4 linked regions of the Alligator mississippiensis genome follow. The protein of the gene in region 1 interacts with the protein of each later gene in a pairwise test. Links are inferred from orthologs where the notes say so. Each region holds a gene or a part of one and is shown in the gene's direction. Other genes may lie near its edges.

Region 1 (7,404 bases):
TTGGACTTTTTGAAGGGTTTTTGGCTGGAGTCTTCTCAGGAGTCTAGGCTGCAGGTTTTTCTAGAGTCTTGTCTGATTTCTTAAAGGAAGTGTCCAAGGAAGTTTGGACAGATGTTCTCCAGGGAGATGGGCGACACAGCGACTTGTTCGCTGCCATGGTGTCACATCAGATCAAGCGTTGTAAAGTCGAAACTGATGTCAGAAAGTTGAAACAGGGTGTCAATTTATAAATGTTGTAAGTGCGAAACGTTGTAACTCAAAACGTTGTAAGTCAAGGACTGTCTGTACCTCAGCACCTTACAAACTTTATCTTTACAAAACTTCTATCTGGTGGAAAACCATTATCTTCCCCATTATACCCCTGTGGAACTGACGTACAGAGATGCTAGGGCCCAGAGACCTGTAGTTGTTTAAGCATGTAACTTCCAGTTAAGTCAACAGGATAGTGGTTTTCAACATTTTTAGACTCAAGGCACTGCTTTGAACATTCAATCCTTTTTGACTATGAAAAAATAATGGAATAATTCTTTTGCTGAAAAAAACTCAGAAAGAACACAACAGTTCTGAATGTTTTTGACACTATGGAGTCCTATTTGAAATCTCTCAGTTTATTTTGTGCATTGTGTAGGTGTTTGTACACCTTACAGTACTAATACCAGTATTGTGCAGCACCTCATCCTTAAAAAGATCTTACAACACTCTGCTTGATAATTACAGCAATAGTAGCTGGATGCTGGAATATCTCTGAAGATGTAGGCCTCATTTTTTTGCCCAAGATCACACAAAGCCTGAGAAAAAGGAAGCAAATCTAGATCTTGTGACTGATAGGGTCTTTTAACCACAAGATTAGGCCTCCCTTTGTAAGTGTTATATATTGTGTCAAAAGCAAATTTGATACTAAAAAATTAATTGTACAAATGGATACAGCTAAGAACATGCATGGGACAATGTTATCCCAGGGAAAGAGACCACACATTAGTTATGTTGTGGAGGAAGAGTGCTCACCAAAATAAAAAGTACAGCTTTATTTTGTTGTCAGCAGTTTTGTTAACAGAGCCTGTATCATTGTTGTTTTGTGCAGCACTAAGCACATTGTATGAAGGGCTGGAAACAAACAAACAACAGTATGCATACATTGCAGCCATGCTACAGCTGAGTTCAACTACAAGCCACTGGAATCAGTTCTAAAGAATCCATTCCCTATAGCATTTATTGAGACTACACGGATGGCTTCCCAAACTGGCCAGATACAACATTCACAGCATTACATAAGAATTACCTTTTACTGGATCAGACCATAGGTCAAAGGAGAGAAATTATTTGGGTTGGAGGGCCACTTAGGGAGTTTTGGTGAGCTGTTGTGGACCCATTCAGCAACCCCCACTGCTGTGCCAGGTTGGCACCCTCACTCCCCCAACCTGCAACAGCTCACCAGAACTCCCTAAGTGGTAGGTTACTAGACTGGCCTGGGACCCCTGTGGGCAGGGTGCACTCACCCGGGTGGATGAGATGGGACTGTGGGCAGGCAGGGAGCGGCATCCAGAGTGGGATGGGTGGATAGGGATGGGGCCAGGATGGAAAATTGGTGACAGTGCAGGGCTAGGGCCGGGCACAGGGCCAAGCCATGATCCACTCCCCACACAATGGATCATGATTGGCCCTGCCCAGGAGGGGGACAGAGCACACACCCATGACCCAGCCCCGACCCCAGCACAGTTGTGCATGGCTAGCCCCAGTACAGTGTGGCTGTGGAGCGGCACAGCCCAGCAATGTGGGGTAGCCTGATTTGGTCATGATTTATCAGGGCTGCTTTACAGCCACATTATACTTTGGCTGTCTGCATGTGCTGTGATGGGGCAGGGGCAGCAGGGGCCAGGTCACGGGTATGCACTCCACCCCACTCTTGGGCTGGGCTGGTCATGATCCATTGTGCGGAGAGTATATCTTTGCTCAGGCCCTGGCTCCGTGCTGTCACCATCCTGCAATTTTGGTCCCGGCCCTGCCTACCCATCCTGCCCGATTGCTGTTTCCTGCCAGTGGCCCCATCCCATTCCATCCTATCCCATCCCATCCACCTGACCGAGCGCACCCTGCCCATGGGGGTGTATAGAGCTGCCGCTGCCAAAGTTACAGGAAAGCAGAGTCTGGCTGCTGCGCTACCCCAGCCCTGCTGTGTGCCTAGGGGCAGCAGGACCAGGTGTATATGCCACGGCCTGGGCTGCACCCCCCTACCCTGTGTCTGGGCCGGACAGGGCCAAGGGACCTGCTTCAGGCCAGATAAAATCCCTTGGCAGGCTGGATCCAGTCCATAGGCCATATTTTGCCCACCCCTGCCAGAGGTCCATCTTGCCCAGTATCCTATGTCACACAGCTAGCGATCTACCTGACCAGGAAAGGGGCTCTGGCTGGGAGGATCCCTGGGGACTTTGTGGCCATTTTCCTATCCATGAGCTGTTCACAAATCTGGGCAGGGTTTCACTGGGCAGTGTCTACTGGCTCCTTGGACTCATTCAGAGGCCAGTGGGCAGTATCCAGTATGCTCTGCTTTGTGTCCTCCCTTGGTGCACTCTTTTTAAACCTTTGACTTTCATTCCCATTCCTGTTTTCTTCTTTATTTGTCCTCTGTAATCACTTGGTGTGTACTTAATGGCCCCCCATACTAAGTGGGGCTTTTAGTTTTACTTGGTGGGCACTGGCTCACATTCCCAATGCACATAAAATCATAGAAAATTGGTGTTGGAAGGGACCTCAGAAGGTCACATCTAGTCCAACCCCCTGCTCGAAGCAGGACCACCCCCCAACTATATCATCCTAGCTGAGGCTTTATCTACTCAGGACTTAAAAACCTTTAAGGATGGAGATTCCACAACCTCTCTGGCTAACCTGTTCCAGTGCTTTACCACACACCTAGTGAGAAATTTTTTCCTAATATCTAACCTGAACTTCCCTTGCTGCAACTTGAGACCATTGCTCCTTGTCCTGTCATCTGCCACCACTGAGAGCAGTCTAGCTCCATCCTCTTTGGAACAACCCCCCTTTAAGTAATTGAAGGCCATTATGAAATCCCCTGTCTTTTTTTCTAGACTATATAAAACCCAGTTTTCTCAGCCTCTCCTCAGAAACCATGTACCCCAGCCCGGCAAGTATTTCTGTTGCATTCTGCTGGACTCTGCAATTTGTCCACATCCTTTTTGTAGCAGGGGGCCCAAAACTGAACACAGTACTCCAGGTGGTACACCTCAGTGGTGCCAAATAGAGGGGAATAATCACTGCCCTTGATCTGCTGGCAATGCTGCTACTAATACAGCCCAGTTTGCTGTTAGCCTTCCTGGCAACAAGGGCACACTGCTCGCTCATATTCAGTTTAATGTCCACTGTAACCCTGAGGTCCTGTTCACATCAAAGAGGCCTATATCACACAGTAGCAGAGATCAGATGCTGAAAGGGCGAGCAAACCGGGTATGACCAGGGTTTTTCTTCACACCATTTCTGTCCCACTTGCAGTCTCTAGCACTTAAGGTCAAGGAAGTGCAGATTCAAGGTCTGTCACTACTGCCCAGGGCAATCCCTGACTGTGGTTTCCTATACAACCAGCTCTCACCGCTCTTCTGTGAAACTGCTTTGAGTTGCTTTGCTTTTCAGCAACCAGGCAGAACCCACTTCTGAAGGTGTCCTTCCATGTTACTCGTGCTCCTGAACCGTAGCGGCCTGCCTTTCTGTCACCACTGCTGCCTCATGCTCCTTGACCAGCGTATTCATGGGGCCCTCTGACTTAAGAGTCCCTCATCCCTCTCTCCTGGTGCAGTGGCTCTGTAGTACTGTACAAGAGAACAGGAGCCGGGCCAGCATGCGCAGTCCTCCCTGGGGTGCAAGGCAGCAGAAGGGACAGTTGCTGCCACAGCCTCCCCACAGCTGCCAGCCCCCAAGTCCCCCCGCGCCCTCAGGCTGGGGGGCACGAGAGAGCCGGGCTCTTCTGCAAAGGGTCCTCAAGGGAAGGCCCTTCATAATCACCCCCGCCCAGGGGCTCTGGGGAGACCGCTCCGGCCCCGGGGCTTCACCCCGCGCCTCATCACCCGCCGCAGCCGCCTCTTCCTTCCCGCCGCCGCAGCCGCCCGGGGCGCGGAGGGGAGGCCGGGCCGGGGGCGCTAGCTGGACGCAACAGCGCGGCCGGGGGCGATATCACACCGGTGCCATCACAACCTGGCCCCAGCCCCGGCGGTGCGGTCCTCGCGGACAGACGGCAGAAGCTCGGTGGCCTCGCACAGGGCTCGGGGAGTGGGAGCAGGAGCCGGAGCTGGAGCCGGAGCTGGAGCGGGCCGGGCCCGCACCCACGGCCCCTCCTGAGTGGCGGGCGCTACAGCGCGCATGCTCGGCGCCGCCGCCATTTTGGTGGGGCCGGGACTTATCCGGCGGCGGCGGCGGCGGCGGAGCTCGCGGGGCCCGACTCGGCTCGGCTTGGCTCGGCGGCAGCGGGTGCGGGGCGGTGTCCGCTGCGGACATGGCCAACATCGCGGTGCAGAGGATCAAGCGGGAGTTCAAGGAGGTGCTGAAGAGCGAGGAGGTCAGAGCACCCCCCCCCCGGCTCCTTGCGTGCGCCTGCGCGGGGGGCGGCTGCCACTGCCCCCGGGTCGGCCCGGCCCGGCCCCCTGTCTCTGGGGCCCTCGGGGCTGGGCCGCGCTGGCCCCACCGCTCTCAGCCTGGCCAGGCCCCGGGTTGCCTTGCCCCCCGGGCCTCAGCCCCTGAGGGCCCCGCTCGGCCCTTCCCGGGGTGACAGTGTCCTGCGTTGCCCGGCTGGGGACGCGTTAGGAAACTTTGGGGACCTGGGTAGGAGCCTCCCTGGTGTCCCCACGGGCGGGCGGACCCGGCCCAGGGAGCGCGGAGGAACCCAACCCTGGTCCTGGACGCCGTCCGTCCCCCGCCTGGGAGGCGCCGGGGTTGACCTGCCTTTGAATTGAGCCTGCTAAGGCTGTGCAGCTCCCAGCAGCCTTTTGAAGGCATCCGAAGGCCCAGTTGTACAGCCTCCCTGCAGCCCGCCCTTTGATTTCCCTGGGGGAGCTGGCTTGGGGCTACCTAGGAAGCATGTCTGGGTGGGTGGCTACCTGCCACATACTGAAAGGAGAGTCCCTTCAAGGTTTTGCTTTCTTTGGACCAGCCCTGATGGTGTTAATGAGAAAACACTGTTGAAAAGTTTTAAATACTTTCTCCCTTGCATTAGAGAAAGGGAAACTGTAGTGTAGGCCACAACGTGTTCAGGTATGAGAGGCACATTCAGGTCTGTGTAGTTTTTCTTATAAAGAGGCTTGGGTCTAGTGAGCAAGTTTTTCTTCATTCTTGTTAGCATATGCACTGGGCACTCTAGTGCACTGAAAATACGCAAGTCTTCAAGACGCTCATCTCATGTGACCGAATCCTGTGTATTGGCGTGGCTGTGAGTCTTGCGGAATTTCTGCCTCTGAATTAAGCATGGAAGATGCACGACACATGTCGGTACTGAGCCAAATATGAGTCGTTGTCTACCAATCTATACATAATCGCTGCTTACAGGTTACGCATTAGGCTGGCATTTTGAATAAGCGAGTTGTGTAGGTTGTTATGGATGTTTAGAATAGTGACATTGCATTCTGATTACTGAGGGATATCTTGGTGTGACTTCTTTTTTGTGTTTTTTTTTTTGGTAAACAGTTCGTGTTCTAGAACATGAAAATGTGAATTGGTGAATGGTGGGATGACTTCTGACCAGTCAAAGGAGGCTGGAAAACTTTCTTTTAAACAGCTTTAGGGATTGACAGCCTAAATTTCAGACTAGGTTACCTATCAAGAAAGAGTAGTTGGGGAAAAAAAATCATGTGAAGAAATATTAATTGTTAAAAACTATAGTCTTTCTTTAAAAAATTCTGATATTTATTTACACTTACTAGATTTTATGCTCCGAGTAGCGTGTTAACCTGAAAACTGGCCACCTTAGTCTGTTTTTCCAGAGATACCACAACGTTGGCTTGGCATCCCATTGTGATGTGGAAATAAACACTGTACATGCAAAATTTGCCAGTCTGGTCTCGGAACATAGGTATATCCTTCAGTTTCTTCTTCAACTGAAGAATTTACAATACGTTGTTGGCCCAGTTTTCACTTTTAAGTTTAGCAAAAGGAAGATTTGTAAATTACAAAAGCATAACTAGGAAACGCACACAATCCTAAATACCTTCTGTTTCTTTGTCTAGAAATGTCCTTTGAGTCTGTCTTTAAAATAACCTAATTTGTGTGAAAAGACCTTAAATAATTTTCCCAAACCATGATTTTTGTGCTGCTTGCCTTATTTAAAGTGTAAGAGCTCACAGCTAACTGAAGGAGTAGGATGTTGAATTTTGAACAAAGACATTCTTTTAATCTAGTTTCCCTTAAGTATTGGAACTAAATAGATGTGCCCAAAATGTTTTTTAAACAGTAGGAATAAATGTACTTTCTCTTCTAGCCCTTCCTATACAAGTAACTAAAATGTAGATTGTTAACAAAGCGACCAAGTTTTAAGATGTTAGTGTAGGCAAGGCATATGTTGCCTTTAACATGCAATATGATGTTAAATAAAGTCTTTGACCCCCCCCCCGCTTGATGTGTGTTAAAAGTAATGCACTTTGTCTACTCTTTAAAATGCACAAGCATGCTAACTCATATAATACTCTAAATCCTAGTCTAGACAAGGCATCAGTTGCTCAGATTTCAGCCTATTCTCTTGTGGTGTCATTTCACTAGTTTTTCATCATGTTGGTCTTCAAGGGTAGACTAATTAAGCTTCTAATCTGGAGAGAATATATACATTTTTTGGATTAAAGCATTTTAAATTGTCTTTAAACACAGGGAAGTAGGGGAACAAAGAGTACAGGCCCTGTTCTCATCTCCTAAATGGGCCTGAGGGGCAACACAGGTAGAAGAGCACTTAACACTTTATTTTGCTGTAGGCTGTGGGACCACTGCCACAGGTAACTGAACAGAAGGTAGGGATTCATCTATACAATGATAGCTTATTGGACGGAGAAATCATGGTGGTTGCTTGATATAGTGGTCCTTGAGAACTGGATTTAGTTCAGCAGGTGTTGAGCATCGTACAATTTTAAAAAAACATTTTCAGTGTTATATATGGTATTGTAAAGTTACAAGATATTACCAGAACCAAATTAAATAAAGGCAGCAAAATGAAAACAGATTAAAGTGGGGCTGGAGATTAAAAGACTAGTCTTCTGGAGGAGTGGAACTTCCTTACTCAGTGCAAGGGATAGTTACAGGAGCTGGCTTATTGCATTCATGACAGAATTTACTTTCCTTATTGGTTTCATAGATTTCTAGGGTTGGAGGGACCTGGCAGATCATCGGGTCTGACCCCCTGCTCCAGGCAGGAAAGAGCGCTGG
Region 2 (7,625 bases), on another chromosome or scaffold:
CTGTGGGTCCCTGAGTGGGCATGAGGCCCCCTCACCGTGGCTAGCTGGGACTGTGGTCTCTCCCCATAGGCACCCTCCCACAGGACCACCCCAGAGCAGCTCCCTGTGTGGCACTGTGGGCTCGGCCAAGTGCCTGCTGGTGCCATGTGACCCATGTATCAACACGTGTGAAGTGCCCGGCTGAGGGGCAGCAGGGCCTGCTCAGATCTGGGGCCAACCCAGCTCCTGCCCCTGGCATCTGGCTGGGCTCACTTAGGCACAGACCCATCTCCTCTGTCTCCAGGAGCCTTCTGAACAGCTCGTGGGGTCTCCAGGGTGGGGAGGGGAAAGCCATTTGCCTCTGCTCTGGGGCGCTAACTGCATGCTGGCACCAAGGCCTGGTCTCCCCACGGCCAAGGGCAGTGTGGTATGAGCTGGGCAGGGCAGGGGATCTGTTCTCTGGGGCTCAAGCCTGGGAGTCAGCAGGTGGTACCTCCTTCCTGGCAGATCAATGAGCTGAGCCAGGTGCCGCTGCCCATCATGCTGCTGCCCGATGACTTCAAGGCAAACTCTAAGATCAAGGTGAACAACCACCTCTTCAACCGGTGAGTCCCACCCTCCTCTGCCACCCCTGGGCAGGGTTGAGCTCTGAGTGCCCCCAAGGCCAGAATCCGTGGGTTGTCCATTCATCTGCCCCCCCACTCCCAGTGATCCAGGCTGGGGGTGCGTGGGATGGATAGGGGCAACCGCAGGCCATGTCGGAGCCAGCCCAACCCTGCTTCCCCTGGCATTGGTCCCACAAGCCGTGGCATCCAGGCCTATAGCTGAATGCTGACCCTACCCCCCCACCCCAGGGAGAACCTGCCCAGCCACTTCAAGTTCAAGGAGTACTGCCCCCAAGTCTTCCGCAACCTGCGCGAGCGCTTTGGCATCGATGACCAGGACTTCCAGGTGGGGGCGTCATGCTGGGGCTGTGTGTGCGCTTGCATGCACATATGCCCCCTCCTGCATAACCACATGTGTGTGTGCTCACATGCATACATGGACCCCCCCAGTGAGTATCCCCTAGGAACCACCCAGCCTCTCCCTCTGCACACAAATGCGCACACACATGCACCCCCCTGCACATGTGTGTGCACACATGCACCACCCCACCATGCTTGGGCATGGCGTGTGGTGTGATGGTGAGGGAGGGGTTAGGGGTTCCCTGGGTTTCACTGCAGCCTCCCAACCAGGTAGCAGCAGTGTCCCCTCTCCGGGCTCATTGGTGCCATGCCAATGTCTGTGCCTACTCGAGGGGCAGGCTGGGCTTTTTCCAGGCAGAGTTGACTTTAGCAGGGCTCATGTGCTCCCCGCCCCCAGGTGTCACTGACCCGCAGCCCCCCCCAGTACGAAGGTGAGGGCAGCGACCGGCGCTTCCTGCTCTCCTGGGACCGGACGCTGGTGGTTAAAGAGATCTCGAGTGAGGATGTGGCTGATGTGCACAGCCTGCTCTCGCACTACCACCAGGTACAGCCAGGGTGGGGCTTGGGAACCAGGAGTGGGGCAGGTCAGGGAGATGGGCCAGCTGGATGTGGCCAGGCCAGGGGTCCAGAGGTATGTGGTTGGGGCCTGGAGCAGGGCGGCGAGGTGCCTGGCTCTGACGTGCTCCCCCCTCCCCCTGCAGTACGTGGTGCAGTGCCACGGGAACACGCTGCTGCCACAGTTCCTGGGCATGTTCCGCACAGGCGTGGACAGCGAGGAGCGCTACGTGCTGGCCATGCGCAACATGTTCAGCCACCGCCTGCCCGTGCATCGGAAGTATGACCTCAAGGTAACACCCGGGGTGGACGGGCTGGCTCTGGGAACAGTCCCCACCATGACCCCCTTCCCTGCAGCTGCCAGCCGCAGCCCTTATTGCACTCCCCCCTAGTACCTTGCCTTGGAGCTAACACTGTGTCTGTTTCCCCCCTCACCTTTGCAGGGCTCCCTAGTGTCCCGAGAAGCCAGTGACAAAGAGAAGGTAATGGTGGGGGGGGATCCTTTTTCTCTCCCTCCACACTGCAGACTAAGCTGAGTGCTTCTGGGCTCTTAGCCCTGCTGCCCCCTGCCCACCTGGCCCCACCACCCCACAACGAGGTTGCTGCCTTCCTAGGCTGTGGCCTGACCCATTCCCAGGTCTCCTGGCAGAGAGGGTGCAGCTTGCGGTGCCTGGCTCTGATGCAGGGGCAGTGATGTGCCCCTCCACCCCCATTGCACAGCTCTGTGTGAGGCTGTGGGCTCCTCCTGTGCTCTCACGTGTAGCCTCCCTCCCAATCCAGGGAAAGGACCTGCCCACGCTGAAGGACATGGACTTCCTGAACAAAAATGAGAGGGTCTACGTGGGCGAGGAGGCCAAGCGGGAGTTCCTGGAGAAGCTCAAGAGGGATGTGGAGGTTGGTGGCATTGAGGGCAAGGGCCCTTGGGCTTGTCCCAGCCTGAGATGAGGGGTTTGTGCAGACATGGGCAGGGGCTGTGGGGCTGGGGGCTCCTGGCAAATGGCCACATGGGCAAAAACCTCCCATGGGGTTTGCAGAGGCCTGTGGTGGGGGCAGACAGGAAGAAAGACCTTTGGCATCTGCCACTGGGCCTCATGAAAGTGAAGCAGTGCTGGCTCATGGTCTGGCCCCCTTCCCCCTGTTCATCATCCCCACCCCCCCGCAGTTCTTGGTGCAGCTGAAGATCATGGACTACAGCCTGCTGCTGGGCATCCACGAGGTGCCGCGGGCCGAGGAGGAGGATGAGCCTGAGGATGAGGACGGGGGAGACAATGGCACTGCTGGCCTTTACGGCGCCTCCCCCGAGGGCCTCGGCATTGCCGGCGACTTTGGCGCCCACCGCGCCCTGGGCCCCGGCGACTTCGACTCGCGTGTGGATGTGTATGCTGTCCGCAGCCAGGGTGAGCAGGCACCGGGGTGCTAGGTGGGTGGGGGGCTCAGGTGGCACGGGGGAAGAGGGGTCTGTACCTGTCTCACACCCCCGTCTCACTCAGGCGGGCCCTGCTGTGAGGTGTACTTCATGGGCCTCATCGACATCCTCACCCAGTACGATGCCAAGAAGAAAGCGGCACACGCAGCCAAGACTGTCAAGCATGGGGTGAGCTGCGGGGGGGAGGTTTGGATCCCCCTGCAGGGGCTGTGGCTTCCCAGGCATCCCTGGTTTGCCAGAAGCTGCCCAGGATTGAGGCCAGGGCAGGCAGTGCGTGGGCCTGGGGGTTTGCAGGTAGCTGCTAGCATTTGGCCTTGGAGTGAGGGGCGGAGGGGCTGGGGCACGAGTGCAGACTGTGGCTGGGGGAGTGGGGTAAGAGCTGGCTGGGGTGGGGGCTGGGCCTGTCTTGGGGTGCTGACGCTGCCCCCTGCACAGGCCGGCGCTGAGATCTCGACGGTGCACCCGGAGCAGTACGCCAAGCGCTTCCTGGACTTCATCACCAACATCTTTGCTTAGCCCCATGGCCACTGGGTCACTCCCCTGCTCCTCTAGACCCCCCCCTCCCCCACACTCCCTGGTGTTTGCTGGGCAGACGCGGGGAGCCGGCCCCCCCTGCCCTGGCTGCAGCGGATCCCAGTGTCCTGGTGTGGATCAAGTGCCTTATCTTTATAACCCCTGGTTGGGGGGGGAGGGGGGGCGAGGGCTGCCCCCTACTCAGAGCTGCTGCTGCTGCTGTTGGTGGTGGAGGAGGAGGAGGTTGTGCTGCTAGTGAGAGGTGGGGAATCCTGCCCCCCACCCCCCCATTGACTCACTGACCCGCTGCTCCCTGGATCTGGGGTCACAGCCTAGGCAAAGGCCCCCACCTGCCCACTTCAATGGGCTGTGGGGCTGCTGGTAGAGGGGGTTCCCCCAGCACCTGTGGGCAGTGGGTCCTAAGGCCCTGCCACCCTGCAGTGGGGAGGGTCTGACAAACACTAATACCTCCCCCCAGCCCCTGGGGCTGCCCCCAAGTCCTCACCTCCACGAAGCTGTCCCAGTGCCCCCCCAGGCTGTGTTGGGAGCAGGGGCTATGCCCTGGGGGGGGCATGCTCAGGGGAGGGGGGCTGTTGGGGGGGGGGGGCAGGGGGGCCACATTCCTGTTCACTCTATTGATAGAAATAAATTATTGACTATGAGGCTGTGTGTGCTGTTGTGGGGGAGGGGGGGCAGTGCCGGGGGGGGGGGGGGGGGCAGTAGCTGTGGGGGTAATAGCTGCTATTGGGTGGTAGGTAACTGCCCCTAGGTTTTTTGGGGGGAACGTGGGGGGGGCAGTAATGGTAGGGGGGGCAGTTGGGTGCCTCCCAGCTGGGGGTGGCAATAGCTGTAGTGGGGGGGGAGCTGGGGGCTAATAGCAATGGGGGGCAATAGTTGCAGCTGGGGGTATTGCAGGGTGGGGGGAGCTGGGTCCCCCTTGGTTTGGGGGGGCAGCAGCTGGCGGGGTGTTAGCAATGGGGGGTACCGCAGGGTTGTGGGGGGGCAGGGCTCAGAGGCCTGGGGCCCCCGCCGCCGGGCTGCCCCACTTCGGGGGGGTCCACGCTGCCCTGACCCCTCCCCTTCCCCCCGCGGGGGTTTCCATAGCAACACCCCCCCCCCGCTGCTGCTGCTGCTGCGCGCGTGCCCCGTCGCCCACCTGATCCGGGCCCGGCCCCCCCCCCCCGCCCCCCCGTTGCCATGGCCGGGCCCGTCCCCCGGCAACGCGGCGCCACGTGACCCCCGCCATGGCCGCGCCGAGGGCAGGTCGGTGATGCTGGGGGGCCCGGGCGGGGCCGTGCGGGGCGGGCGGCGGGGGGGCTCGGCCCGGGCTCCATTGTGTGTGGGGGGGCGATGAATGATTGACAGCCCCCCTGGAGTGGGGGGGGCGCTCCCAGCCGGGGGGGGCGCTGGGCCCGGGCCTTTGTTCCTGCTCGGAGCCCCCACGTTTGCAGGCCTGGAGGCCGGGGGGAGGGGCCCGAGCCGGGGAGGGGGGCATTTGCACCCGGGGGGGTGTAGTTGTATGGGGGGGGCCTCCCCAGCCCCCTCCCCGCGATGCAGCCGGCTCTGGGCCGCGGCCTGCACTCCCCCCCCCCCCCGTTTTTGTATGGGCTTTGCCTGCCCCCTTTGCATGGGCTGGGGGCACTGGGGGGGTCATAGTCACTGCCTTGTTATGATAGGGATTGTGGGGGGGGCACAGGCTGGCCGGGGGTGTTTTGGGGTTTCCTGGGTCCCTTTCACAAGGGGGGGTGGTCTCTGTGCCGGGGGGTTTGGGGGTCACAGCCCCCCCCCTCCTTCCTACAATGAGGCTGCCGGGGGTGGGGGGGAGCTGCCTCCAGCCCAGGTGGTGCGGGCGGGATGTGCCCCCCGTGGCTCCCTGGGGCTGTGGTACGGGCCAAGGGTGCTGGCGGGTGCGTTGCTGGGGTCCGGGGGGGCGGCAGTGGTCCCCCAGTGCCCCCCCGACCGCGCTGAAATGCAGCCAGCTCTGGGGTGGTGCCAGGCCTGGTCCCAGGGTCCTCGCGCAAGCATTTGGGAGGGGAAGTGGAGACCCCCACATGTGCCCCCGTCTCACCTGGGGGGTCCAGGCTTGCCTGTGTCTCCGGGGTGGGTTGGGGGGTCTAGGGCAGACCCTCCCCTGGGGCTCAGTCTGTGCTGTATGGACTGGGAGGGTGACCCCTGCCTCAGGGGCGGAGCCTATGAGATAGTCCCGCCCCCAGGGCATGTGGCTGCTGACCCAGATTGGCTAGAGCTGTCAGGCTTGTGGGGCGGGTGCAGGGTAGGGCCCCGTCCCAGGCCCCTCCCCGTGGTCCATATAGCACCGACTCAGCCCGGGCCAGGGGCCAGTTTCCAGGGAGCAGGTTGTGCCCAGGGGAGAGCCTGGGGGACCCTTGTGTGCCAGGCTTGGGGGGCATGGGTAGTTCATTGCTGGGGGGCTCTGCCCACAGGCCTGGGGGGGCCTGCACAGGACAGGGGTCTGGGGTGGGGGAAGGGTGCATCTCCTTACCCCCTTTTGTCCCCCCAGGGGTTCCCGGCGCCCGGCTGTGCTGAGCTCTGCTCCCCAGCGCCTCTGGCTGCAGCTTCTTCCATGGGCTCCCCAGGTGGGTACCGTGCCCCCCGCAAGTGTGATGCCATTGGGCCCTATTGGGGGGGGGCGGGGGGGGTCTAGGCCAGGCTGGTGGGCTGCCAGGGGCGGGGCAAGGCTCTGTACTGGGCCTTGGTAGATTCTGCCCCGCGCCCCCTCCTATCAAGTCCCTTTCTGCACCCCTTGGCAGCCCCCCTTATGAATGGCAGCAGCTGGGGAGGGGGTCATTGCCCTCTCTGCATGGCGGGGGAGGGGCAGGGAGGCCAAGGGGGCTAGAAGGGCCCTTCTTGGGGGTCCCGACCAGCTGTGTGCCCATCGCAGTCCTGTCCCCCCTGCACCTGCCTAGACAGGATGGTGATGGGCATGGGGTTGATGTCTGTGTATGCCCATATCCCTGTGTGTGTCTGGGCCTGTGTTCATGTGGGCACATGTCTGCCTCTGTGTGTGAACGGCCATGTGCAAGTCCGTGCCGTGTCCCCGTCCATGCATGTGGCTATGTACATGTCCCTCCATGCACGTGCTCACATGCCTGTACATGTGTGAACCCATGTGAGTGCATGTTCCTGTGTGTGCGTCCACATGTGTGCCCATGTGCAAGTCCATGCGTGAGTTGGTGTGTTTGCCTGTATGCCCACCCATATTTGTGCTCATCCATGCCTGTGCCCATGTCCATGTGTGTGCCCATGGCCATGTATCTCTCCACACACGTGCCCATGTGCATGTCCATGCATGAGGCTATGTGTGTCCCCATGTGCATATCCATGTGTCCTTGTCCGTATGCATGCCCATGTGTGTCCCTGTGCATATGTCCCTGCATGTGCTTGTACATGTGTGTGCCTACATGTATGTATGTATGTATGTGAGTCCATAGAAATGTGTCCACATGTGTGTTCATGTGCCTATCCCTACATGTGTCCATGTGTGTGCCCATCCATGTATGTGGCTATGTAAAGTTGAGGCCTTGCATATGCCCACGTGCATGTCCATGCATGAATCCATGCATGTGCCCACATGTGCCCTCGTCTATGTGCATGTCCATGCGTATGCCTGTGCATGCCAATGCCCGCATGTGCCCATGTACATGTGAGTCCATGCGGGTGCATATATGTGCTCATGCCCACAGGTGTGTCCACATGCGTGCCTGTGGCCATGCACGTCTCCAAGCATGTGCGTCCATGTGCATATCATCCACGTGTATGTGTCCACATGTGTGCCCTTGTCCACATGTATGTGCTTGTGTGCGTGTCTGTGTGTGTGCCCATTTATGTGTCCTTGCGTGTCCATTCACGCATGTGCCCATGTGAGTCCTTGCGGGCACTTGTGCCCATGGCCATGGACATCTCCATGCCTGTGCCACATGCACGTCCATGTGGGTGCCTATATACAGGTGCGTCCATAGCCACGTGTGTCTCCACGCGTGTGCCCACGCCCCACACTGATCCCTTTCCCCCCACAGTGTCCTTTGTGCTGTCCCGCATGGCGGCCTGTGGGGGTGCAGGGGCCAAGAGCCGCCTGACAGTGCCGAAGCCGGTGTGGGACTTCCTGACGCAGCAGAGCCCGGGCAAGCTGGCGCGGCTGCGCGAGGCTACGCCCGTCAGCATCCTCATTG
Region 3 (7,560 bases), on another chromosome or scaffold:
GAAGGTGAGCACGGTGTGGGGGCCCAGGCGGGCATAGTATGGTGTGAAGCCCTTCCATAGGCTGAAGAAGCCCTCATAGCGCACCACCTTGGCCAGCACATCCTGCAGTGGGGACAGGAGGTGGGGGAAGGTCAGGGGGGACCCAGATACCCACCCCTCCCTCACCAGCAACCGGGGTCACCTCCAGATGGCTTGGGTTCCCTACTGGCCCAGGCTATTCCAGCCAGAAGCAGACCACCCTGCAGCTACCTATAGCAGCCCCCCTTTCTCTCTGGCTACCTATATACTCCACCCCTTCCCTCTGGCTATCAACAGAGCACCCCCTTGGCTACCTATATATCTTTCCTCCAGCTACCTGTAGTCCCTCTTCCCCCTGGCTAAATCTAAAACCCCTCCCTGGGTAGCTGCCCAAGGATCCTGCTGGGGGGCAAGGGCTCCTCCCCACCAGCCACTCACCAGTCCATTGCGATACTCAGGTTTGCCGTCAATCATCCTCATGTTCTGGATCCTGGTAGGAGACCGGGGGGTGGAAGGCAAGGGTCATGAGGGGCATAATCAGGCTAGGCTGGGGCCCCCCACCCCAACATCCCCTCCTCAAGGACTCACCGGGTCTTGGCAATGTCAACGGGCATAGATGCAGCCGTGGTGACCAGCCCACTGATCATGCTGGCGCAGAAGTGGCAAAGGATGTCGTCCCGGAAGTAACCTGGCAGGGAGGGGGTGGGTGAGACCCCCCTGCACACAAAGGAAGGGAGTTGGGGGAGGGGGGCGCTGCTAACAACTCCTGGCTTTGTTAAGGGGGGGGCCAGGAGGGGAGGGGGAACTTACCGGAGTCCAGCAGGAACTGCTTGGACTGGGAGTAGGAGGCCAGCTGTGCCGCGTTCACCACCACTGCCCGGGCCATGGTAGGGACACAACCCTGTAGGGGAAGTGGGGAATGAGGAAGGGGTTGGGGGGGTCCCTGTGACCCCTGACCCCTGACCTGGCCATACCCTCCAGAGTGTGAAGACGCCTTCCTCCCGGGTGATCCGCACCAGGGCATTGAAGACATTGGTGTAGCCTCTCCTCTGGTCAGGGGGCAGCCTGGGAGGCAGAGGGCAGGGGTCAGGGGGCATTGGGGACCAGAGACAGGGGGCAGGGCAGCTTCAGGACACAGGGCAATGGGAGAGGGAGTCCTGGGGGTCAAGTGTCACAAAGAGAGGTCAGGGGTCATGGGGGTGGAGAGAAGGCAGAAATAAGAGGTCAGGGGACACTGAGAGTTGGCAGGAGTCAGGGGTCACCAGGGCAGGTCCAGGGAGTAGAGAGGCAGGGTCAGGGGGCACTGGGGTGAAGACTGAGCAGATAGAAGGCAGGGACCTAGGGCAAGAGTCACCAAGGTACAGAGAGGGGTCAGGGGCAGGTGCCATGACAAGGGTCAGGGGGCACTGGAGTGGAAACCAAGCAAAGATGAGGGCGGGGTCAGGGGTCACAGAGAGGGGTGAGCGGCAGAAGTCAGGGGCTGTCAGGGCACAGAGAGGGCTCAGAGCCAGAAGCCAGGGGGTGCCAGGTCAGAGGTTGGAAGGCACTCACCGCCCGTCTGCTGTCATGCGGATAAGTGCCACCTCAGCAGGGGTGCCCACGAAAGCGCCGGCAGCACCAGCCACCATCCCCAGTGCAGCCTTGAGCAGGAAGGGGGGCGGTGTACCATCGTCCCGCGTCAGCCGCTCCAGCAGCACGGTGTAGATGCCCAACCGTGTCGTCGTGTAGGTGGCCTGGCGCAGCAGCCCCGCTGACAGCCTGCCATTTGGAGGGGGGTCAGACCTGGCCCGGATGCCTGGGTCCCCTCCCTAGTGCCCCATGTCCATGCCCTGGGTGTCTGGGTCCTTCTCCAGCACCCCATGGAGAGGCCTTGGATGCCTGGGTCCCTGCCCTGTGTCAGGTGGAGATAACCCAGGCCCCTGGGTCCTGGCTGTACCTGGGGTAGGTACCCCAGATGTCTGGGTTCCCCGCATGGCTGCCTGTACCCACTCTAGGTGCTGGATAGCTGGGTTCCCTGGCTGTACTTAGCATTAGATGCCCCAGACACGTGGGTTCCTCCCCACATGCCTGGGTCCCCTGGACACCTGCCCATACCCAGCCTAGGTGCCCTGGACACCTGGGTCCTAGCTGTAGCCAGTGTAGGTGCTCCAGACATCTGGGTCCTGGCCATACCCAAGGCAGGGTCCCCAGGCACATAGGTTCCCCTGTGCCCATACCCGGTGTAGATGCCGCGAATGCCCTCGTGGCGCAGGATGCTGCCCACGGCGTGGAAGCTGGTGCGGTACTCGCGGGTCTTGGCGCCCTCCCCGCTCAGCTGCATGCGGTTCTTCACCAGGTCCAGTGGCTGCACAAACACTGTAGCGCCCATCCTGGTGGGGGAGAGGGTGGAGGGTGGTCAGACCCAGATGCCTGGATTCCCTGTCCCACCCCCATGCCCTGGAGGCCTGGGCGGGACCCTCTATCTCCTTCCAACCCCAACCCTGAAATCTCCTCCCCCTGTCCGGAGGCCTGGGTCCCTGTCACGCTTGGCAGGCACTACTGGGGACCCTCCCTCACCAGCCTGTAACCATTAACGAGGGGGACATCAACCCCTGGGGTCAAGGTCCAGCTGAGGCAGGTGCTTGTGACCCTGGAGGAAGCTGGGTTCCCCTGTCCCCCCCCCCCACAGCTCCCCCCCCCCTCAGCAGGGGTTTGTGGGAGGTTATTCTGGGGCAGGGCAGATTTCTGCCCTGGGTGGAGGTTGTATTGTGAGGGGGGACACCCATTTCTTGCCTTGGGGGTGTCTGGGGTTTATTGGTGGGAATGGGGGTGCAGGTGTCTTTGGAGGGGGGCTGGGGGGGGACCATGGAAGGGGGTGCATCAGCTAGCCTCAGAGATCCCTGTGGGGGTTGGGGGGGGTCAGGAAGGTAGAAGGAGGTTTGTGGGGTCTCCTAGGGGGGCCAATTCAGTTTTGGGGGCTCCATGGGGCGGGGCGGCTCTCACCCGGCCAGGCCGCCGAACAGGAACTTGACGGCCTGGGGCGAGGTCCGCGCCCGCTCGGGCCCCCCCGTCCCCGCCGCCACCGCCATCGCCGGCCCCGCGCTGCGGCCCGGGCCAAGGTCACGCCGGGGGGGGGAGGGGGGGGGCTGCGCGCGCAGTCCGGAAGTGCGGCCGGTAATCCCGGGAAAGGCGGTGCTCACGGCCCGGAAGTGGGGCAGAAGGACTTCCGGAGGTAGGGTGGCTGCGCGCGCAGCTAAGAATCCAGGAGGGCGGGGGACTAAAGAATTCAGGGAAGGTGGAGGAGAGAGTTGCGCGCGCAGATCCCCGCCCTCGACCCCCGTTTTGGCGGGAAGAGGTTGGCGGGGCCACTGGGTCTGGGGGGAGGGAGGGCTAATGGTTAGGGCTCCAATACTCCCCATTACCGTACTCTCTCGAGTATCACAGGAGGTTTATTCCCCACCTCCATTCAAGAGGAGGGAAGCCCCCTCATCTTGGAGAACTGGGGGGGTGCATCTCTATTCATAGATTGTAGTCAGAAGGTACCACAATACATCGTGTCCGACCCCCTGCCTCCTCTTGAAGACCTCCAAGCTAGGTGACAGCACCACCTCTCTTGGAAGCCCATTCCAGAGTGGGGAGTAACCAGGAGCATAAAGATAATACCCTCCAGGGGGAGACATAAATAGGACCGGCATCTGGTAGCAATGATACTCCATAATACCCCAGGGATACAGAATAAAGGTGCTGGTGGGGGGGTTGAATGCTACACTCCCCCAACAGAAATAATGCTCCAGGGGTTGATACTCCATAATACTCCCCATGGATTGATACGTCAGACCACAGCCCCCCAACACTCACACTTCAGCCCCTGCTGGGTCTGTTTGCTACAGGGCTCCAGAAATACTATTACGGGTCAAGGACCAATACTCCATAATACTCCAGGGCATGGATACTCCGCAATCCCTCTGGCGAGCCATGCTCCATGTTATGCCAGCAGATCAATACTCCATGGTGCTCCTGGGGGGGGTCAATGCTCTGTAACCCTCCTGGCAATCAATAGTCCATAATATTCCAGGGGTTTGATGCTCCATACTACTCCAAGCGATTGATTTCAGGAACTAATACCCCACAGTGCCCCAGGAGATCAATACTCCAAGGGATCAATACTTCATAACGCCCCAGGGGGTTGATACTCCATAATACTCCTAGGGGTCAATGCTCCATATGGCTCTAGGAATCAAAGGCCAGACCACTAGCCACGCGCTCCCGCTAATACTCGTTTGGGATCAAGTTTTAGGCCTCGTCTGGACCTAATCCCCGGGGATTAATGCTGTCCACGCAGGGTCCCGCATCACCCTGGGGAGAGGTCCTGCCCCACTCTTCCCTCCAGCAATAATCCCCGGGAGTACCGGCTGGGGCAGGGATCCCCCCCCGGCTCTCCCGCCCCACTGAACCCCGGAGGAGGAATCCGGACGTCCGCTCACCCCGCCCGCATTCCTGGGGGCGGGGCACATTCCAGGAGGGGGCGTGGCTCCCACCTGCTCTCGCGAGATCCGCGCGCCGGCCTGGTAAACACAGGCAGGGAGCCGAACCCCCTCCCCCTACCCAGAGGGCGCCCCCTGCTGCGGCCGGGGAAGCCCCCTGCTGCTGCGCCCAGGGAACCCCGCTGACGTCACTGACGGAGGGAGCCCTCTGCTGCCTGCTGGGGGGGGGACTCCCGTGAGCCAGGCCTGAGTGAGGGGACCCCCCCCCCCCGGCCCCATCATGAGCAGGTGAGGGGTAGGGCAGGTAGTTGGGGGGAGAGGGGGGCATCTGGGGACTGCTGGGGGGTCAGGGAATAGCTGGGGGGGGCAACTGGGGGGTGGTAATGGGGGCATCCAGGGGCTCAGTTTGAGCCTGGGGGGCTGCTGGACTGCGGGCATAGGCCTCGGGGTGGTCCTGGAAGGGCCTGGATGCCTGGGGCCCCATCCTGGCTCTGCGTGGGGGGTTGGATGTGGGGTGCCGCCTGCCTCACCCCTGCCATTCCCATGACACCCACGAGGTACTGCTTGGGCTTGTTACTGCACCGGCTGGGCCTCATCCCCCACGCCCTCAGCCTGCCCCGGCTTGCCAGGACCTCGCCCCCTCCCAGCCCCTGGGGCAGGATTGGGCCCCTCGAGCTGTGATTGGGACCTCCCAGGGGCTTTTTGGGGCCACCAGGCACTGCCTAGCCCCTCTGGTCAGGATTGGGCCCCCTAGGTTGGGATCAGGGTCCTCTGGGTGTAGCTGGCTCCTTCCAAGCCAGGATCGGGCCCCTCCCAGGCACTGCCCAGCCCCCACTCCCTCTGGCCACGCTTGAGGCCCCTGCTCTGTGTGTGTAATGGTTGGAAGTGGGGGTGGGGCCCCGGACCCCGGGCTCTTTCCTGGGCTCTCAGTGGTTCTAGGGGATTAGAGCCTGGACGCCTGGGGTCTTTGCCAGACTTGTGGGGGGCAGGGGGCTGGAAGGGGCAGGGTGTTGCCCCCACCACCACCACCTGGAGAGAACCCAGGTGTCTGGGCTCCCAGCCCAGGGCATGCGACTGCCCCGGCTACGTGCAGGGCGTGGGGCTGGGAGCACGGGACCCAGGTGTCCAGGATTGGCCCTGCCCCCTGACTCTGGTATGCTCCTGCCCTCAGGTCATCGTGGCCCCTGGTCATCGCTGCCCTGCTGGTGCCCCTCGTCCTGCTGCTGCCTCCTGCCACTGCCTACATCCATGCCGTGAGTGGGATGGGGGTGGGGGGACCCCCAGTATCCCACAGGCCTTTGCAGCCATGCCCTGGCCTCCTGCTGGCCCATGATGCTTTGCAGCTGTGCCCCAATCTCCCAATGTCCCGCAGTCCTTTGGAGCTGCACGTTGTTCCCCTGACACCCCAGTGTCCTTTGCAGCTGTGTCCTGGCCCTGCCGATGTCCCAGCATCCTTTGCAGCTGCTGCATCTTGGCCTCCTGATGTCCCACAATGCTTTGCAGCTGGGCCCCCGATCTCCTGATATCTCACAGTCCTTTGGAACTGGGCCCCAGTCTCCTGACTTTCCATGATGCTTTCCAGCTGCTCCGTGGCCTCCCTGCATCCCACAGTACTTTGCAGCTGTGCAGTAGCCTCTCAGTATCCCATAATGCTTTGCAGCTTCACGCTGGCCTCTCAGTATCCCATGATCCTTTACAATATCCCACAGTCCATTGCAGCTGCACCCCAGTCCCCCCATGCTTCTTTGCAGCTGTATAGTAGTATCCTACTGCCCCATGATACTTTGCAACTGTATAGCAACCTCCCAGTGTCCCACCCTGCTTTGCAGCTGCACCCCCCCAGTATCCCACAATTCCTTGCAGCTGCCCCACACCTTCCCAATATCCCAGGCTCCTTTGCAGCCTGATTATGCCCCCCCTCTGTCCCCAAACTACCCACAGTCCTTTGTAGCTTCACCCCAGGACCCTTTGCAGTGCCCCCCACCATCACACAACCCTTTGCAGGTGTCAGAGCACAACTCCAGCATGGACTTCTCGGACCTGCCCGCAATCTTTGGGGCGCCACTGCCCCGCCTTGGCCTCCTGGTGCGTGCCCAGATGCCTGGGTTTCCTCCTGGGGGTGGGGGTAGGGGGCTGGGCCTGGGTTCTCGGGCGGGGGGCTGGAAGCCTGGGTTCTGCCTGTGCTGGCGGGGCAGAGGGGTCCTGGATGCCTAGTGGGGATAATGGGAGTCGGGGACCTGGATGCCTGGGTCCTGTCTGGGCTGGGGAGGGGCAGTGGGGGTCAGGGGCCCAGATGCCTGGGTACTCTCTGGTTTTGGGTTGCGGGGCCTGGATGCCTGGGTCCCAGTGTGGCCCTCCCCAACCAGGGCTTCCTGGTGGAGGCGCGGCCCAGCAATGCGTGCCAAACCCTGGAGCCGCCACCGGGCCCCAATGCCAGCGTCTTTGTGGCCCTTGTGCGCCGCTACGACTGCGACTTCGACCTCAAGGTGCGCCCGGAAGCTTGGGTCCTCCAGGGGTGGGGGGCTGGGCACCTGGACCGTTGGGTCCCTCATGACCCTCCTGTGCCCCCCAGGTGCTGCACGCACAGCAGGCTGGCTTTGGCGCAGCTGTGGTGCACAACGTCGGCTCCGACAACCTGCTCAACATGGTCTGGAACGACGGTGAGTGGGGGTCGGGGCCGCCCCGGACACCTGGGTTCAATCCCTGGGGGGGAGTGGAGACCATGCCCCCCCCTGATCCCCTGCTGTCCCCAGAGCGCGTGAGGGAGCAGGTCTCAATCCCGGCTGTGTTTGTGGGCGAGACAACGGCTGAGTACCTGCGCGCCGCCTTCACCTATGACAAGGGGTGAGTGCCTGGATGCCTGGGTCCTGTCTGCGTTGGGGGTTGAGAGCGGGGGGCTGGGGGCCCAGATGCCTGGGTTCTCTCTGTATCTGGGGGGTGAGAGTGGGGGGCTGGGGGCCTGGACACCTGGGTTCTCTGTGGAGGGGGGGCTGCAAGACCCAGCCTGATCCTGTGCCCCCTGCTCCCAGTGCTCATGTGGTCCTGATTCCCGAGTCCATCTTCCCGCTGGGCTACTACC
Region 4 (7,739 bases), on another chromosome or scaffold:
TTTAGCTAAAAAATCTCTTTAGGAATAGGGGGTCATATCCAAATAATTCCCACTTTACAGACTCCTCATAGAAAAGATTTGAACAAATACAGAGAAAGCTGCTAAAAACTCCATCTTCTAAACCTACCCATGAATTGGAGCACTGGGGCACATGTTATTCAGTGACCACAGGATGGGGCCTGGATATCAAACAGGATGCAGCTCAGGTCAGGTGTTTTGTATATAGCCAGGGCCTAAAGACAGTAAAGACAGAGGGTTTATTTAAGATAAATCCCCAACCTCCACACTAGGAGCTATTGCAAATGCTGCAGAGTAGGTAGTAATGCGAACACACAGATTCAACCTGGGAGCAAACATGACCTATGAAAGTCCTTCCAATTTTGGACTAGCTTCACTACACAAGGCATCAACGAGTGTGTGGGGAATTACAAGCTGGAAAGGAGGGAGACAGTCACCATTTCTCCCCCAGTATACTTTAGAACAGGGGTGGGCAAAATGCGGTCCATGGGCGGATGCAGCCCACCAGGCCATTCTATCTAGCCCATGGAGCCCCTAAAAAATTTAGAAAATTAATATTTGTCTGCCCCGGGTGCCTGTCATGCGGCCCTTGATGGCTTGCCAAAACTCAGTAAGCAGCCCTCCGCCCGAAATAATTGCCCGCCCCTGCTTTAGAATCAGCCCTTTTGCTTAAACTGAAATGCAATGACCAGCCTCACAGTCATAAATTACAGTTATGAAGTTACAAGGACAAATAAAGGGGTAACTGGATGGAAGCACCTAAAGTAAAAATATTTCTGACACATGACACAACACTACGGTTCCAAACACTATAGGGGCAGATCCAGAGGGGGTGTGGTGGCTTTCAGACCAAGCCACAGAAGCAGCAGGTAGGGACTTTGAAGCAGGTTTGTATCTACCTCTTTTGCTACTTTTAAGCAGGTATGTATCCACCTCTTTTGGTACCCCATTACTTCCCCTCCATGCTCAGTGGGACCTCCCCCCAACTCCCCTCTGATTCCCCACCTGCCACTGCCCGTACTCCTGCCTTTAGCTACCCCTGGGGACAAGGACACTGGATTCTTCCTTCCTGCCAGGTGTTCTTCACCAGTCTGAGAGCAGGCTCAGGGACAGAGAATCCACCTACTGGCACCACTGTCCCTGACTGGGTTTGTCTCCCCATGCAGCTGCTCCCTGCAGCCCCAGCTGGAGCAAAGCTGGAACATCCAGGACAGCAGCAGTGGCAGATGAGTCTCCCTGAGCCCAGAGGCATAAGGAAGAAAATTAGAAAATAGGCTGAGAGATAATTTTAGGTGATAAGTAAATGGCAAATTTATTATGAGCTTACAATTAATTGCAACAGAAACACATGTATGTACATACAGCCAATGAAAATTAGGGCTGAATATCCAGCAGTTTCAATATGTATCATAGAAACATAGAAAATTAGGGTTGGAAGGGAGCTCAAGAGGTCATCCAGTCCAACAAAGCAGGACCATCCCCAACTAGATCATCTCACCCAAGGCTTTGTTTAGACAGGTCTTAAAACCTCCAAGGATGGAGATTCCACAATCTCCTTGGGTAACCTGCTCCAGTACTTTACTACTTTCCAAGTGAGAAAAATTTTCCTAATATCTAATAGAACATGAGACGGTCCATTTTTACATGATTTCTGAAATGGTGCTCTGAGATCCTGAATTATCTCCACACAAGGAGGATATCAACAAGTTGGTGGGATTCAGAAGTACGAAAACCTTAAATGTGGAGAAAGTTGTCAATATGACTGTTTTATAGCAGCAGTAGGAAGCAATCAAAAGAAGAGCAATTATTTAACTACGGACTGCTAGTGTTTGTATTGGGCTAATGCCCAGGGGCTCCAAAATTTAAAACGTAATAAATCTGAAACTGTGGACTTCACTATGGTGTCTGGTACAGTTATATGGGAGCAGTGAGACAGACACCAGATCCTCTTGCATCCAGACGGTTTAGATTCTCCTCTTGTTCAATCCTCAGTAGAGGTTAGCAGTAGAGGTTGATGAAACCTGGGTGCAGACACACGAGGGCTGAACTGTTCTGAGAATGTCATTGATTAGGAACCAGTTCACAACTGTTGCAGTGCAGAGGTGTCCACTTCCAAAACAGTTCTAAGAACAGCCACCTTTTAGGTATTGGAGTGCTGTGGCACTGCCATCACAGAATGGGAATAAGTACCTTGCCCAGCAGCCTTAGGGGCAAGAGCCCCATGTTACCCTAGGATTTCCTTACCGGGCATGAAGACCCTGAGGGGATTTAATGGCAGCTTTCAACTACCTGAAGGGTAGTTCCAAAGAGGATGGATCTAGACTAGGGTTACCATATTTCCAGTTTCAAAAAAGAGGACACATACGTATTTGGGTGGGGAGGAGGGGAAAAGGAATATGACTGTGGGGGGAGCAATAATATGCCCTTGCCCTGGCCCTGCCACTCACTCCTAAGGGACAGCACTCCCCCACCCCGCCAGCCCTGCTGCTGCCCCTCACTCCCAATCCACAGTACCCCGCCTCCTAGGCCATGCTGATGCCCCTCACTCCCGACCAGCAGCCTCCTGGCACTGCCTATGCTCCATGCTTCTGACCCAAGAGGCATGGGGAAGGTGCAGCTTCTTGCCACTGCACACACTCCCAGGGGAGGGCATGTGGCCTCTGGGTTTGTGTGTGGGGCAGAGGCAGTCTGCCCACTGAGGGCTGGGGATCACTGTGTTCTGCTGCTTTTTCCCAGGAGCTATGCAACACCAGTATGCACCCTGACACATGCTGGGCAGGTAGGGGACACAGTGCAGCTCTCAGGGCAAGGCGGGGGGAGGCAGCAGAAGGGGCTTCCTAGATCCCTACTTCTGTATTCCAGGGGGCTTGATGTTCTGGGGACTGCCTGAGGTCTCTGCCTCAGGCTGCAGCTTTAAGATTTTTGCTAGAAAACCACCTAATTAATTTCAGTTCACCCCACCTGGTGGGGTAGGTGGGTGCACCCTTAATGATAAACACCTGTTAATTGCTAGGTCAGGCAAAATGGAACCACAATGGGCACTTAAGGCTGCAGAATGGCTGTTAATCCCATGCTTGGTCAATGTAAATTGCCCCATTAACTCTGATAAACTGTTCCTCAGCCCTGCACCCTCCTTTATCTGCTTTGGTTAGATTGTTTTTAACACTATAGATTCCTATTTTAAACAACTGGTTTTATGTTCTGAATTGTGTTTGAACACCTAACAATGCTAACATTGAATGGCATCTCATGGAAAGGGTTTCAAGGACTGCCATGCTGGCTTTTACTACTCAGACCTGATAAAGGATGTCCTGCATTTGAAAGCTTGTCTAACTCTACCCCAACTATGCAGTTGGTCCAATGAAAGACATCACCTTAAGAAATCCTGGCCTCTCACTTAATTCCTGGACCATCATGGCAACAACATAATTCCAATACAGGTTTCCCTCACTTTATGCAGGTTTTGTATGTGCAAATTTTCTCTTATGCGATGACCCTTTTTATACCAAAAATGAGTTATATGTGAGGTAAATTCACTTTTATGCAATCAGTGTGGTAGAGGCCTGTAGTCAGCTGCTTTGTATGGTGCATTATGGGAGTGATGTGCACCAAAATATAGTCTGCTGTGTGGATCCATGCTCCTCGCTTGTTGTCCGCGACACATCACGTGTACACGTGTAGTTGCCATCCCCATTATGGTAATATTCACCACCTCCTGTGCTTGTGCGCACTGTCTGCTGTTAGCAAGTACCAAAATTGCCTGATAAAAATGGGTCTGGGGGCCAGTACAGTCAAGGTCTTGGAACATATCTTTGTTGCATTGTAAAGTGGGTTCTTTATGCGAATTCGAGTTAATGCGCCCTTTTCCAGGAATGCACGTACAGCATGAAGCGAGGGAAACCTGTACTACCGAAGAATGTCAAGGCACCCCGGGGTGCTGCAACATCCTGGTTGAGAACTGCCAATCTCAGGTGTTAGATGTAGAATTTCAGAACTAGGTGCATCCCTAGCAAATTCCTCCAAGTTTAGTCCTGCACTTCTGCAAACCACGAGGTGTATGTCTGCTGCCCTTGCGTGGCTTGTTTCATCTGTCAAGGGCTTCTTCTCCCTCTGCCCCACTATCCACCCACCTCACTCTTCTTCCTTAAATGAATACCTGAGGGTAGACCACAAACTGGCTGTGCCCTGGGACTAATGTTTGCCTCCTCTTCACATTACAGGTACCACACAATTACCTGGTTAATTGTGCAATTATCTGCATACCAGTAACACATGCCAGGTAGCTATCACACCGTAAAAAGCTCCCATCAACTATGAAGGTAGACCATGAAAATGCACAAACTTTATAGCTAGTTGCTACCCAGCTTTCACCTGCATGTGCAGCAGGGTCTCTCCCCTCCCCTGTGGCGGGGAGCACTGAGAGGATGGGGCTCCGAGCCACGGGGCTGCACCAGGCCCAGTTGGGGCCGCGGGTCTCACAAAGCAGGGGCCTCCCAGCTCCAGCAACTGCCCACGCTGAGTCCTGACAGCACCTGGACACGCGGGGGGGGGGGAGGGGGCGGCACATGAAAGCCATGGCCTGGACGAGACCAGCCCTGCCTTTGCGGCGCGGGGCGGCCCACTGCGCCTGTGCCACAACAATCCCCCGCGCGGGCCCGGGCGTCACCACGGAGACCCGCCCCGCCCACGGCGCCGGCGGCGGAGGGACCCAGACCCGGGCCCCGCCCTGTGACCGCCGCGGCGCCGGGCAGGCGGAGACGGCCGCGCCGGGCCGGATCCCCGCGCCGGAGGCCGCGGCGCTGCCATGGCCGAAGAGGCGGGCGCGGGCAGCAGCACCAGCAGCAGCGGGAGCGAGGAGGAGGATTTCTACTGCCCTGTGTGCCGCGACGTGCTGCGGACGCCCGTGAGGACCCTGCTGTGCCGGCATGTGTGCGTAACCCTCCATTCCCCCCCCCTCCCCCCGGGCACGCGGGGCTGCGACCCGGGCCCGCCGCACCCCCGGGTAGCTCCCCACACGTGCGATCGCACGCGCGGCCGGAGCGCCGGACCCTGCCTCGCAGACGCGCACAGCCCGGGACCGCACGTGCTTCCCCCCAGCCGGGCATCCAGCCCCCATTACATACACACCCACCATGGCCTGGGAGCCATGCACAGCCTGGGATCACATGCTAGGCCCAGGGGTGTGCATCTAGCCCCCATTACACACACACCATAGTCTGGGATCCAGGCCCTGCCCCTCAAACACAGGCCGAGTCTGGGATCTCACACACTTATGCCCTCTCCCCCTATCTAGCCCCTAATACATACACACGCGCCCCCCCACAACCCACCCCCAGTCTGGGATCCAGACCCTGCCCTAAAAACCCACAGAGCCTGAGATCCAGCCACCATCTCACTCTCTCAATCCATGCCCACACGCGCACATGGCCTGCGACACCCCCCACCTTTGAGATCCAGGCCCTGGTCTGAAGGAGTGCGATCCACCAAAGCGGACACCCCCCCACCCCCCCAAGCTTCATTGCCCTGTGGCAGTGGGATGCAGTAAGACTGCCCACCTCCACTCTGCTTCATTCCTAGGGAAGGAGCACAGGGGGGTTAACAGCCCTGTTTCACTCCCCTCCCCCTTGTCCCGGCTGTTCTCATCCTCCCTAGAGGCATCTTTGCAACCTTGCCACAGGAGCCTAAGAGTGATGTTGTAGACATGACAGTCCATGGTCCAGAAGTGATGCCAGAGGGGAGGATCTCTTGGGGCAGTCCCTTATTGCAGTGGCTCCCAACCTTTTTAGACCACAGACCAGCAAACTGCAGACCAGCATACCGCAGACACTGGCAGCCAACCCTTTTTTTATACTCAGTATGAAAAAGGGTTGTCTGCAGTATGCTGATCTGTTCTGGACTTCCAGTCCAGCAGCCAACCCTTTGCAGCCAGGTACCAGGCCGTAGCGCAAGGGTTGGGGACGTCTGTCTTATTGGACCAGTCGTGTAGTAGGGATAAGGTTCCCTTCCAGCCCCGCAGTTTTTGGCTGGTTCCCATCCACTTGGCCGTAAAGCCTCTGTTGGTTCAGGTGGATGCTTAATGGCAGGCTCCAGCATTGCCCAAACTTGTGGGTGGATGTTTCTTTGAAATATGGTGCCTTGAATTTTAATGAAGCTGTATACTGGAAGTAAGGGAGGGGGAGAAGTAAATGTGACCAACTGAAAGCTGCGGGAACATTCACAGGAGGGTCGGTTTGCAGCATTTGGGTCTCTATATAGGAATAGTAAACAGGAGCCAGCCTGGTACAGTTTTTCTTGGCTCACAAGCCCAGGTATCACCTGAACGGCCAATCATGGTGAACAGCTCAGCAGTGCTAGAATTAGATAGTAAAATCTCTGCATCAAATGAATTGCCAAACATCCTATTACTTAAAATCCGTGTTTCAGTATATCACTGAAGTAGACTTATATTTAATGGACAGACTTCTAGCGCTTACCGTGAACCCTGCGGAGTTCCTGCGGAGTTCGTCATTTGCCTCCTCAATACCAAAGCAGAAAAATAGTTGGCTAACACTATTTCAATTTTAGTAATTTAGGTCTCTGTTAATTTTGATTTAGGTTTTGCAGGAAATGTTTCCTGACAGCTGTCAGAGAAAGTGGAACGCATTGTCCTCTCTGCCGGGGAAGTGTGGCTAAGAAAGAAAGATCATATCCCCAAAGGGCCCTAGATGTTGAAAACAACATGAAGAAGTTTTCTGGAAGCTGTAAATGCTGTGAAAAACAGGTGGAGTATACTTGTAACAAGCAACTATTGTAAGGAACTAAAATTTTCCTTACCTGGGGTTTCATTTTGCATGTTGCTATGCATCATCAGTGTTCTGTTGTTTTGCTCGAGCACCATCAGCGTTGAGCCACAAATGAAGCATAAGTGCTTATGATAAGCAGAATTTGGTCCTTAATTAAAAATATGAATGTTGATATTGGGATAACGTAGAAAGCGAAACAAGTTATTTTTCAAGGGATTAATTGTAATTGTCTCATTTTTGGTGATGTGCCAAAATTATAGTGCTTCATAAAATTAAATTGTTAGCAAATTCCTAAAAAGAGTTTTAAAACATGGTTCTGCCATGTTATTTAATGTTTGCTTTCTTTTTGGTAGAGCATTAATTTCCAAAACACTGTACATGAAATCCTAGCCCCACTGAAGTCAAAAGGCATCTTGCTGTTGATCTTCAGTGGACCTGGAAGATTGCTTAATAAGTTTTGTTTATGTAACATCTACCTTCATTCAGATTGGAGCTTAATTGTCTGAATGCAGCTATCGTGTCTGAAAAAATGAAATTGAGAGCAACAAAATTTAAGATCCACTAAACAATACAAGTGGGTAGGCTAGAAGGAATAAAGCCCCAGGTCCACAAAATGACTTCAGGCCTGGACACAGCATGTTAACACTGGTGTAATTTACTTCAGTCTTATACTACAATGAGAACTGCACTGGGATCTGGGGTGGCTGGATGACCAGTTATCCCAGGGAAGCTGCTACAGTAGTCAATATGACACTGTCTCTCACCACTGTCTCTCACCTATTAGGGGCAAAGTAATAACCTAATAGGTTTCCTTGGACACCTACACCAGTGTAATTTGCACCCAGGGAACACTACACCTGAGTCTAATGTACCTCATGTTCCTCCTCCTTGTTTACACCAGCATAGAGGCATTTTGTGTACAAGCTCAGTACTGAAAAG

What was found.
Region 2: the proteins of UBE2K (region 1) and DTX3 interact in binary tests that used the Homo sapiens proteins (3 or more experiments, as listed by UniProt). The link is inferred for Alligator mississippiensis from reciprocal best matches to the Homo sapiens genes UBE2K and DTX3.
Region 3: the proteins of UBE2K (region 1) and RNF167 interact in binary tests that used the Homo sapiens proteins (3 or more experiments, as listed by UniProt). The link is inferred for Alligator mississippiensis from reciprocal best matches to the Homo sapiens genes UBE2K and RNF167.
Region 4: the proteins of UBE2K (region 1) and RNF138 interact in binary tests that used the Homo sapiens proteins (3 or more experiments, as listed by UniProt). The link is inferred for Alligator mississippiensis from reciprocal best matches to the Homo sapiens genes UBE2K and RNF138.

Annotation. Positions count from the first base shown.
Region 1 is NC_081825.1:50,896,082-50,903,485, forward strand, and holds the start of UBE2K (ubiquitin-conjugating enzyme E2 K), read left to right. Parts: upstream 1-4,395; 5' UTR 4,396-4,498; coding exon 4,499-4,561; intron 4,562-7,404. UniProt on the Homo sapiens protein: Accepts ubiquitin from the E1 complex and catalyzes its covalent attachment to other proteins. In vitro, in the presence or in the absence of BRCA1-BARD1 E3 ubiquitin-protein ligase complex, catalyzes the synthesis of 'Lys-48'-linked polyubiquitin chains.
Region 2 is NC_081838.1:7,399,798-7,407,422, forward strand, and holds the start of DTX3 (probable E3 ubiquitin-protein ligase DTX3), read left to right. Parts: upstream 1-4,619; 5' UTR 4,620-4,701; intron 4,702-5,956; 5' UTR 5,957-6,019; coding exon 6,020-6,032; intron 6,033-7,472; coding exon 7,473-7,625. Other genes in the region: PIP4K2C (phosphatidylinositol 5-phosphate 4-kinase type-2 gamma), read left to right, coding at 487-584, 834-930, 1,342-1,488, 1,646-1,792, 1,943-1,981, 2,280-2,393, 2,662-2,896, 2,990-3,093 and 1 more. UniProt on the Homo sapiens protein: Regulator of Notch signaling, a signaling pathway involved in cell-cell communications that regulates a broad spectrum of cell-fate determinations.
Region 3 is NC_081838.1:23,790,531-23,798,090, reverse strand, and holds the start of RNF167 (E3 ubiquitin-protein ligase RNF167), read left to right. Parts: upstream 1-4,545; 5' UTR 4,546-4,761; coding exon 4,762-4,769; intron 4,770-5,652; coding exon 5,653-5,734; intron 5,735-6,485; coding exon 6,486-6,566; intron 6,567-6,847; coding exon 6,848-6,967; intron 6,968-7,053; coding exon 7,054-7,141; intron 7,142-7,234; coding exon 7,235-7,325; intron 7,326-7,510; coding exon 7,511-7,560. Other genes in the region: SLC25A11 (mitochondrial 2-oxoglutarate/malate carrier protein), read right to left, coding at 1-102, 457-508, 607-706, 829-919, 993-1,083, 1,570-1,776, 2,235-2,387, 3,001-3,086.
Region 4 is NC_081826.1:81,008,644-81,016,382, reverse strand, and holds the start of RNF138 (E3 ubiquitin-protein ligase RNF138), read left to right. Parts: upstream 1-4,736; 5' UTR 4,737-4,822; coding exon 4,823-4,947; intron 4,948-6,612; coding exon 6,613-6,778; intron 6,779-7,739. UniProt on the Homo sapiens protein: E3 ubiquitin-protein ligase involved in DNA damage response by promoting DNA resection and homologous recombination.